Linked DNA regions of Sus scrofa. The protein of the gene in region 2 binds, or shares a complex with, the protein of the main gene of each other region. Links are inferred from orthologs where the notes say so. Each region holds a gene or a part of one and is shown on either strand. Other genes may lie near its edges. The genes, in order: DYDC1 and ROPN1L.

Evidence for each region.
Region 1: ROPN1L (region 2) and DYDC1 share a complex: the UniProt entries of both Homo sapiens proteins name them as parts of the axonemal radial spoke complex. The link is inferred for Sus scrofa from reciprocal best matches to the Homo sapiens genes ROPN1L and DYDC1.

The regions. Positions count from the first base shown.
Region 1 is NC_010456.5:82,190,468-82,194,282, forward strand, and holds part of DYDC1 (DPY30 domain-containing protein 1), read right to left. Parts: intron 3,283-3,815; 5' UTR 3,260-3,282; coding exon 3,113-3,259; intron 2,374-3,112; coding exon 2,272-2,373; intron 1-2,271. UniProt on the Homo sapiens protein: Functions as part of axonemal radial spoke complexes that play an important part in the motility of sperm and cilia. Plays a crucial role during acrosome biogenesis.
Region 2 is NC_010458.4:41,894-46,290, reverse strand, and holds the start of ROPN1L (ropporin-1-like protein), read right to left. Parts: upstream 2,993-4,397; 5' UTR 2,855-2,992; intron 2,529-2,854; 5' UTR 2,485-2,528; coding exon 2,354-2,484; intron 736-2,353; coding exon 612-735; intron 1-611. UniProt on the Homo sapiens protein: Functions as part of axonemal radial spoke complexes that play an important part in the motility of sperm and cilia. Important for male fertility.

The DNA.
Region 1 (3,815 bases), on a different chromosome or scaffold from region 2:
GGTTAAGGATCCAGTGTTGCTGTGGCTGTGGTATAGGCTGACAGCTGCAGCTCTGATTTGACCCCTAGCCTGGGAACCTCCATATGCCACAGGTGCAGCCCTAAAAAGACAAAAAAAAAAAAAAAGCTGGGGTGACTGCAGCAGATACTTGACTACCTGGGTGGTTGTTTGACATCCAACTCAATGCTATGCAATTTCCCCACAAAAATAAGCCCAGTGACTAAAAAAGCAGCAGCAAAGGCTTTCTTTGACAGCCAAATCCACCTAAGGTGTCTGAATTATCCTATTCCAGTATCAAGGATGGGAAGTAAGACAAAGAAGCTATTTTCCATGTTTACATTTTCTTTTTTACCCACACAGCCAAATAATAGGCTTCTTTCTCTTTCTATAACATACAAACTGGAGTTGAGACTGTAGAATTAGGTAGTGTACAATAGGAATAAACGGGAGGCTTGAACTTGGTTTAGAAGCTCTCCATAAATTAAATTAGTCCAGGAGTTCCTGTCGTGGCGCAGTGGTTAACAAATCTGACTAGGAACCATGAGGTTGCGGGTTCAGACCCTGCCCTTGCTCAGTGGGTTAAGGATCCAGCACTGCCGTGAGCTGTGGTGTAGGTTGCAGATACGGCTCGGATCCCATGTCGCTCTTGCATAGGCTAGAGGCTACAGCTCCGATTCGACCCCTAGCCTGGGAACCTCCATATGCCGCAGGAACGGCCCAAAGAAATAGCAAAAAGACAAAAAAAGAAAAAAATTAAATTAGTCCAGAGCCATTTGAGAAATTTCCCCTATTTGGTTTACACTCCATGACCTACCTCTTCAACCATTCTCATAGCAACATCTTTAGCACCCCAATCCTGCTAACCCAAACTCACTTCAGTCAAAGGGTCTGCCTGTTCCACCTCTTCATTCATATCTAAGCCTGAGTGAAGAAAACCACATAATCACAAAACCAAGCCAAAAGGCCCCATTATGACTGCTTATTCTCAGGGAATTCAGTGCTACCAAGGGATGTGAAGTTTCCCTGGTCAACTGGACTTCTCCAAAGCCACCGTTTTAACCCTTCACCCCTCTCTCCACACTTCCTATCTTACTCACCACCTCATTGTGAGCAGATGATCATGCTCCCTACTTCATAAAAAAGAAACTGCTTTCAATTTTGGGCCACAAGTAGGGAGTTCCCATTGTGGCTCAGTGGTAACGAACCCAACTAGTATCCATGAGGACATGGGTTCGATCCCGGGCCTCGCTTAGTGAGTTAAGGATCTGGTGTTGCTGTGAGCTCCGGTGTAGGTTGCAGACACAGCTCGGATCTGGTGTTGCTGTGGCTATGGTATAAGCTAGCAGCTGTAGCTCTGATTCGATCCTTAGCCTGGGAACTTCCCTATGCCACAGGTGTGGCCCCAAAAGACAAAACAACAAACAAAAAATTTTTGTGCCACAAAGAGTTCCCATTGCGGCTCAGCAGCTTTAGAACCTGACACAGTGTCTGTGAGGATGTGGGTTTGATCCCTGACCTCATTCAGTGGGTTAAGGATCCAGTGTTGCTGTGGCTGTGGTGTAGGCCAGTAGCTGCAGCTCTGATTTGACGCCTAGCCTGGGAACTTCCCTATGCTACAGGTATGGCCATAAAAAGAAAAAAAAAAAATTGTGCCATAAAACCTACACATCACATGTACCTACATCTTCTCCTCTTTTCCTGAATCAAAGAAGGGTCTTCCACCTGCCTAACCTATGTTTCAGACCCAACTTTTTCTGATCTCCATGTAAAGCTAACTTTAAGAATAATCCACTTTATTTCTTTACTTCAACCACTCCCCCTCCCACTCTGTTCCTTAAGGGGAAAAAAAAAAAAAAAACAAACAAACAAACAGAATTCCTTCTCTGAGAATCTTGAAAACATTATCTACAGCCACCATTTCTATCTCCCCTGCTTAACCCCAGCCCCCACACACTGCTCCCGCCAAGGTCACCCGTGGACTTAATGAGCACTTGGCAGGTTCTGATCTCACTGGACCAGCCATAGACATGGTTGACTACTCGGGTCTCAATGAGACATTGTCCCGTTGGCTTCTGTGACAGCTCACTCTCTGGATTTTCTTCCTACCCCACTGCTTCTGCTTCTCCAGCAAAGAAACACAGAGAGACATAAGGATGAAGATACATGAAAGCCACATCTAAGCAACCAGAGATGAGTTTTTCAGCACTCGGGTTGCACCACACAGAGGCTGACACCACCAATTCCAGTCACCACTGAACTCTTTTGTCTCACCTGCTGAAATAGGAGCTCTTCTGCTTTAAGTCTCTCCATCATTTCCTGCTCCATCAGAGCTATTTGTCTTTCATGCTCCAACTGGGCCATTTCCTCTTGTCTCTAGCATTGTTTTAAAAACAACATCATGTGACATCAGGTAAAACAATTTTTGAAAACATTCTTAAAAGCATGTTAATCTCCAACAGCAGGGAAAGGATTAAACAAATTATAGTCTGTCCATTTGGAAACTGCATAATAATTTTGGGAAATGTGTGTTTTATTTGAACAAAGAGCACAAAATTAAAATTATGAATTGAATATGATCAAATTACGTTTAAAAAATCTTAACATGAACACGTAGAAAAAAGACTAGAATATCTAAAAATACTTAAAAATCTAAATAGAAGTTTTTTGTTTTTTGTTTTTTTTTTGTCTTTTGTCTTTTTTTAGGGCAGCACCTGCAGCATATGGAGGTTCCCGGGCTAGGGGTCTAATCTGAGCTATAGCTGCCGGCCTACACCAGAGCCACAGCAACACCAGATTTGAGCCATGTCTGCAACCTACGCCACACTCATGGCAACACTGGATCCTTAACCCACTGAGTGAGGCAAGGGATCCAACCCACAACCTCGTGGTTCCTAGTCGGATTCATTTCCGATGCACCACGACAGGAACTCCTAAATAGAGGTATTTTGTTTTCATTTTTCTACTTTCACTTTTTCAGGTAGTCCAAGTTCATGTAATAAACATACCATTTTTATAACAGAAAGAAATGATAATGTCAAGCTTTAATAAAAAATGAAGAAGCTGGACCAATTATTTTACTCTTCTAATTTTAGGAAAAAAGATCCATACTTACCAGTTGCTCCCTGGTCACATTTTCTTTATACTTGTAAATCCACAATGCCAAATATTCTATTGGATCCACTGGCCGCATCCTTGCCACTTCTGCAAGCCCTTGAGTTAGACATGTCCCAAGATTCTTTTGAAGATACTCCGTCTCCATTTATAACTGCTAAGTAAAAACTTCTAAAGGACAAACATTTTGCATTAGTGCAGGAGATTTTTGATGAAGGCACAATCAAAGTAGAGACAAGTAAGGCCAACCAAGCAGCATATCCTGTCACCAGTCATGGGAACCTGCCATTAGGGATGGCGCAAGCAAGCTGGCTCTGGGGAACTTCTAGCATTTTCCAAAAATGTTCCACAGTAGTTGCTACAACTAAAATAGTTTCAAAATCCTGAAGGATCCTTGATTCCAAGAGTCAGAAAAGGGATACTGTCATTATTGACCATGAAATGGCTATATGGCAAGTGATGGCTCACTTAATCCTCGCATTCAGATACAAAGAGAATAAGTGAACAGCCCAGGTGGCACATGATGCACAGGGATCACACCCAACTCTTGATTCCAGAGTCGTTACCCTAAATGATTTACTAAGATGCTCCTCCCAACCCCTGAGAGATGTTTCTAGAAAATATCACAATAGTACCTTAAAGTTTTAAAAAGTCCACATACCTTAAGGCCAAAAAATAAGAAAAAATTAAACCTTCAAAGACTA
Region 2 (4,397 bases):
AAAAGAAATTCTATTTCAGTATAATCATGAATAGCATTTTTTTTTTTCTTTTTAGGACCGCACCCATGGCATATGGAAGTTCCCAGGCGAGGGGTCTAAGTGGAGCTACAGCTGCCAGCCTACACCACAGCCACAGCAACGCCAGGTCCGAGCCGAGTCTGTGATCTACACCACAGCTCATGGCAATGCCAGATCCTTATCCCACTGAGCAAGCTCAAAGATTAAACCAGCATCCTTGGAGTTCCCGTTGTGGCTAAGTGGGTTACAAACCCAACTAATATCCATGAGGATACCGCAGGTTTGGCCCTGAAAAAGCAAAAGAAAGAAAGAAAGAAAGAAAGAAAGAAAGAAAGAAAGAAAGAAAGAAAGAAAGAAAGAAAGAAAGAAACGCATCCTCACGGATGCTAGTCAGGTTCATAACCCACTGAGCCACAATGGGAACTCCTATTTGGGGTTCTTTAAACCAGAGAAAGGCCACTGAATACAAGATTCCTTCTTTGAATAAACTTGGAGGTTTCCCAAAGGGAAGCAGGGCTTGTATGGATGATGGGGAGGTTTCTGCCAAGCTTTATCTCAAGTTCATCTGACTGATGACAAAGACAATCTTATACCTGCTTGTGCAAAACTTTAAGGAGTCCTTGAGTCAGGCCTGTGTCTGTTTTCTGAGTGGCCATGGGCATTTCAATTCTGTCCTTTACAGGAAGTGGATCTCCTCTTGACAAAGCTGAAAAATACCTGACAACGACATGCATTGCTGAAGGCTCATCTGTGCATCCAGCTGACTTCATGCACTTTCATCAGTGACCTCAGAGGGAGACAGTGATGACGGAGGACTGTGCTAGGTCCCTGGCCCAGCCCCTCTACTCAACTGACTTAACATTCTCCACATGCCTCAGTTTCTCTGTCTGCAGAGTGGGGAGAATGGTGGCCCCTGTCTCAAGGCCCCCATCTGCACTCCTGGGGGTCTCACGACACATGCTAATCTCATCAAGTAGATGCCACTAGAGGTCCTGAGATGTTGCTAGAGGAGGTGGAGGTCAGGGCCCCATGTGACCCAAGTGCAAGGGCATGGTCCAGTAGTATCATTTTGACAGCTGGGGACTTGGCCCTGCTTCTCGAGGGGCTTGATTTCAAGCATCTCTGCCTATTCGGGTCTCAGGCACTCAGAACAGGGAAGTCACCTGTTTGGCCAACTCAGGGCCAACCTCCCCTACTCTTCACCTTTCCTGCCTGGTATTTTTTTTTTTTCTTCAGTATTTTCCCACTCAATCATTCCTTTCTGGGACATGGATATTGGTGCTAATACTAGGAAGAAGCTGGGACACAGAGAGAGTCTGGGGCAACAAGACAGGAGGGGGACAGGACCCCGGGGGTCTGGCTGGAGGGTGAGGGGTGCCAGGCAGGGTCTTCTGGAAGCTCACTCTCTGTGGGTGCATGCAGCTGAGAATGGCTGCTGAAGCCACATCATTTGCTGCCCTCACAACCTTACCACTGTCAGAGAAATGCCATATCCAGGAAAATAAGGCACTAAATCATCCAGGGCTACCAGTAATAATTTCAAAGATACAAGTAGTTAGAAAACATCTCTGAACATGTAACAAAATGTAGATCAATAGATATTTGATGGACTAAAAGAAATTTTATATCTCATCCCCTTTTTCTCTCTCCACCCCCTCAAATTCAACTTTCACGCTCTTAGGACAAGTTCAGACATATTTTGTTAACTTAATGTCTGTTCCTAGAAGCAGAATGTTTGTTGCAATAAACTGTGACGCTCATATGCTTGAACTAAGCTGGGCAAAGTTTAACTTTACAGCAGCCTTGGGATGGTTACTTGACATAAACTAGTCTTTCTGGTTCCAATAACCTCAAAAGGTACTCAATCCTGGAGGATTTTCTGAAGACAAAGAATATAACCATAAGATTCTTCCTTGTAAAAATCATTTCACAAATAAAGGGACTGTGATAGTTCGAGTTTATAACACAAGGCAGAAACTTTTTACCCAATGTAACTGTTTTATAAATTTTAGTCTACTTGCATAAATATCACTCTCCAACAATAGAGCTGCCATTGCTTTGTAGATAAATGGGCATTTTGCAGTAATTTCTGGTCTCGTGGTCAATAAACCACGACGCTTCCTAGATAGATACTTAGGTGTAAATACCAAAACCACTGGTACCTACATTAGGTGTATGGTATCTACAATACTATATTAGGTGTAGATACCAATGCTAAAAAAGGTTTTGCCGGTACTCAGGGTACTGAGCATTGTCCAGGAAGGAGGACTCACTAGGCACGACTGGGCAAAGGGGACCAGGGGGCTCTCCAAGGTCCCAGTCCGGTGGAACTTACCCCGCGGACCACTGCAGCACGTCGGCGGGTTGGGTGCGGATCGCAGCCTTGGTGAACTGCTTCAGGATGTCTGGCAGTTCCGGGGGAATGTGGATCTGCTGTGCGCAGAACATGGTGTCGGGAAGCGGCATCGCTCTCCGCAGACCAGGACCAGGCTGGAAAGAATCAAGGTGTGCTGCGGAGGGAGAAAAGGCTGGTTGGCCAGCCCAGGACACTCGGAGAGACGCGACGGCCAGGGGACCCAGGGGCCGGGCCAGAGCACGGGGTCCAGGGTCCCCAGTTTGAAGCCTAGTGGAGGAAGAGGGTCTGGGGCGGGGCTGGGCGGGGTCCGGGATCTTGAACCAGGCCGGGGGTGGTGCGTTTAAACCAGGCCAGGGCAGGCTGCCCACCTTTCCTCGGGTTTGGAGGGGCCGGGGACCGGGGCTGGGCGGCAGTTTTGGGTTTGAGGGCAGGCCAAGAGGCTGGCTTCCTGAGGCGCCGGCAGCCGGCGAAGGCTCTTACCCGCTCCTCCGGTTCCTCGGAAAATGAGGGCCAACCGCTGGTTCTAGCGCAGACCCAGCAACTGGGCAGCAAGCCACCGCTATTGTTTCGCAGCGGTATCCAAGCAACCAAAACATGTGCGGGCTCCACCCCCTGGAGCCGCGCACGCGCACAAATGGTGGAGCAATGCGCTTGCGCAGTCTGGTTTCGCAGTCCTTTCCTTTACCTCGCTGTAGGAGCAGAACGTTTCACTTGAAAAGGACTTTTTTTTTTTTTTTCTTTTGATTAATTTAATTTTATTGGAGTAAAGTTGACTTACAATGGTGTATTAGTTTTAGGTGTATGGTAAAATGATACAGTCATGCATATAAATATATCCATTCTTTTTTCCCATATAGGTTCTTACAAACTACTGAGTAGATTTTCTTCTGCTACACAGCACGTTCTCGTTGCATCTCTTGTTTTTCTTAATTTTTTTTATTACTCAAATGAATTTATCACATCTGTAGTTGTATAATGATCATAAAAATCTGATTTCACAGGATTTCCATCCCACAGCCCAAGCACATCCCCCCACCCCCCAAACTGTCTCCTCCGGATACCATAAGTTTTTCAATGTCTGTGAGTCAGCATCTGTTGTGCAAAGAAATTCCGTCTGTCCTTTCTTCAGATTCCACATGTCAGTGAAAGCATTTGATGTTGGTGTCTCATTGTATGGCTGACTTCACTTAGCATGATAGTTTCTAGGTCCATCCATGTTGCTAAAAATGCTGATTTCGTTCTTTTTCATGGCTGAGTAATATTCCATTGTGTATATGTACCACATCTTCTGGATCCACTCCTCTGTCGATGGACATTTAGGTTGTTTCCATGTCTTGGCTATTGTAAATAGTGCTGCAGTGAACATCGGAGTACATGTGTCTTTGCGATAGATGTGTTTTGTGTTTTCTCTGGATAGATGCCCAGGAGTGGGATTGCTGGATCCAATGGGAGTTCTATGTTTAGTTTTCTGAGGAATCTCCATACTGCTTTCCACAGTGGTTGCACCAATTTACAATCCCACCAACCGTGTAAGAGGGTTCCTTATTCTCCACCCCCTCTCCAGCACTTCTTGTTTGTAGACTTTTGGATGATGGCCATTCTGGCTGGTGTAAGGTGGTACCTCAGAGTGGTTTTGATTTGCGTGTCTCTAATAATGAGTGATGTTGAACAACTTTTCATGTGTTTCTCAGCCATCCGTATGTCTTCTTTGGAGAACTGTCTGTTTAGATCTTCCGCCCATTTTTTGATGGGGTTATTTGTTTTTTTGGTATTGAGCTGCAGAAGGTGTTTATAAATTTTGGAGAGGAATCTCTGGTCAGTCGATTCATTTGCAAAGATTTTCTTCCATTCTGTGGGATGTCTTTTTGTGTTGTTTAGGGTTTCCATTGCTGTGCAGAAACTTTGAGGTTTTATTAGGTCCCATTTGTTTATTTTTCTTTTTATTGTCAATACTCCAAGAGGTGGATCTGATAATATGTTGCTGTTGTTTATGTGAGAGAGTGTTTGGCCTATGTTTTCCTCT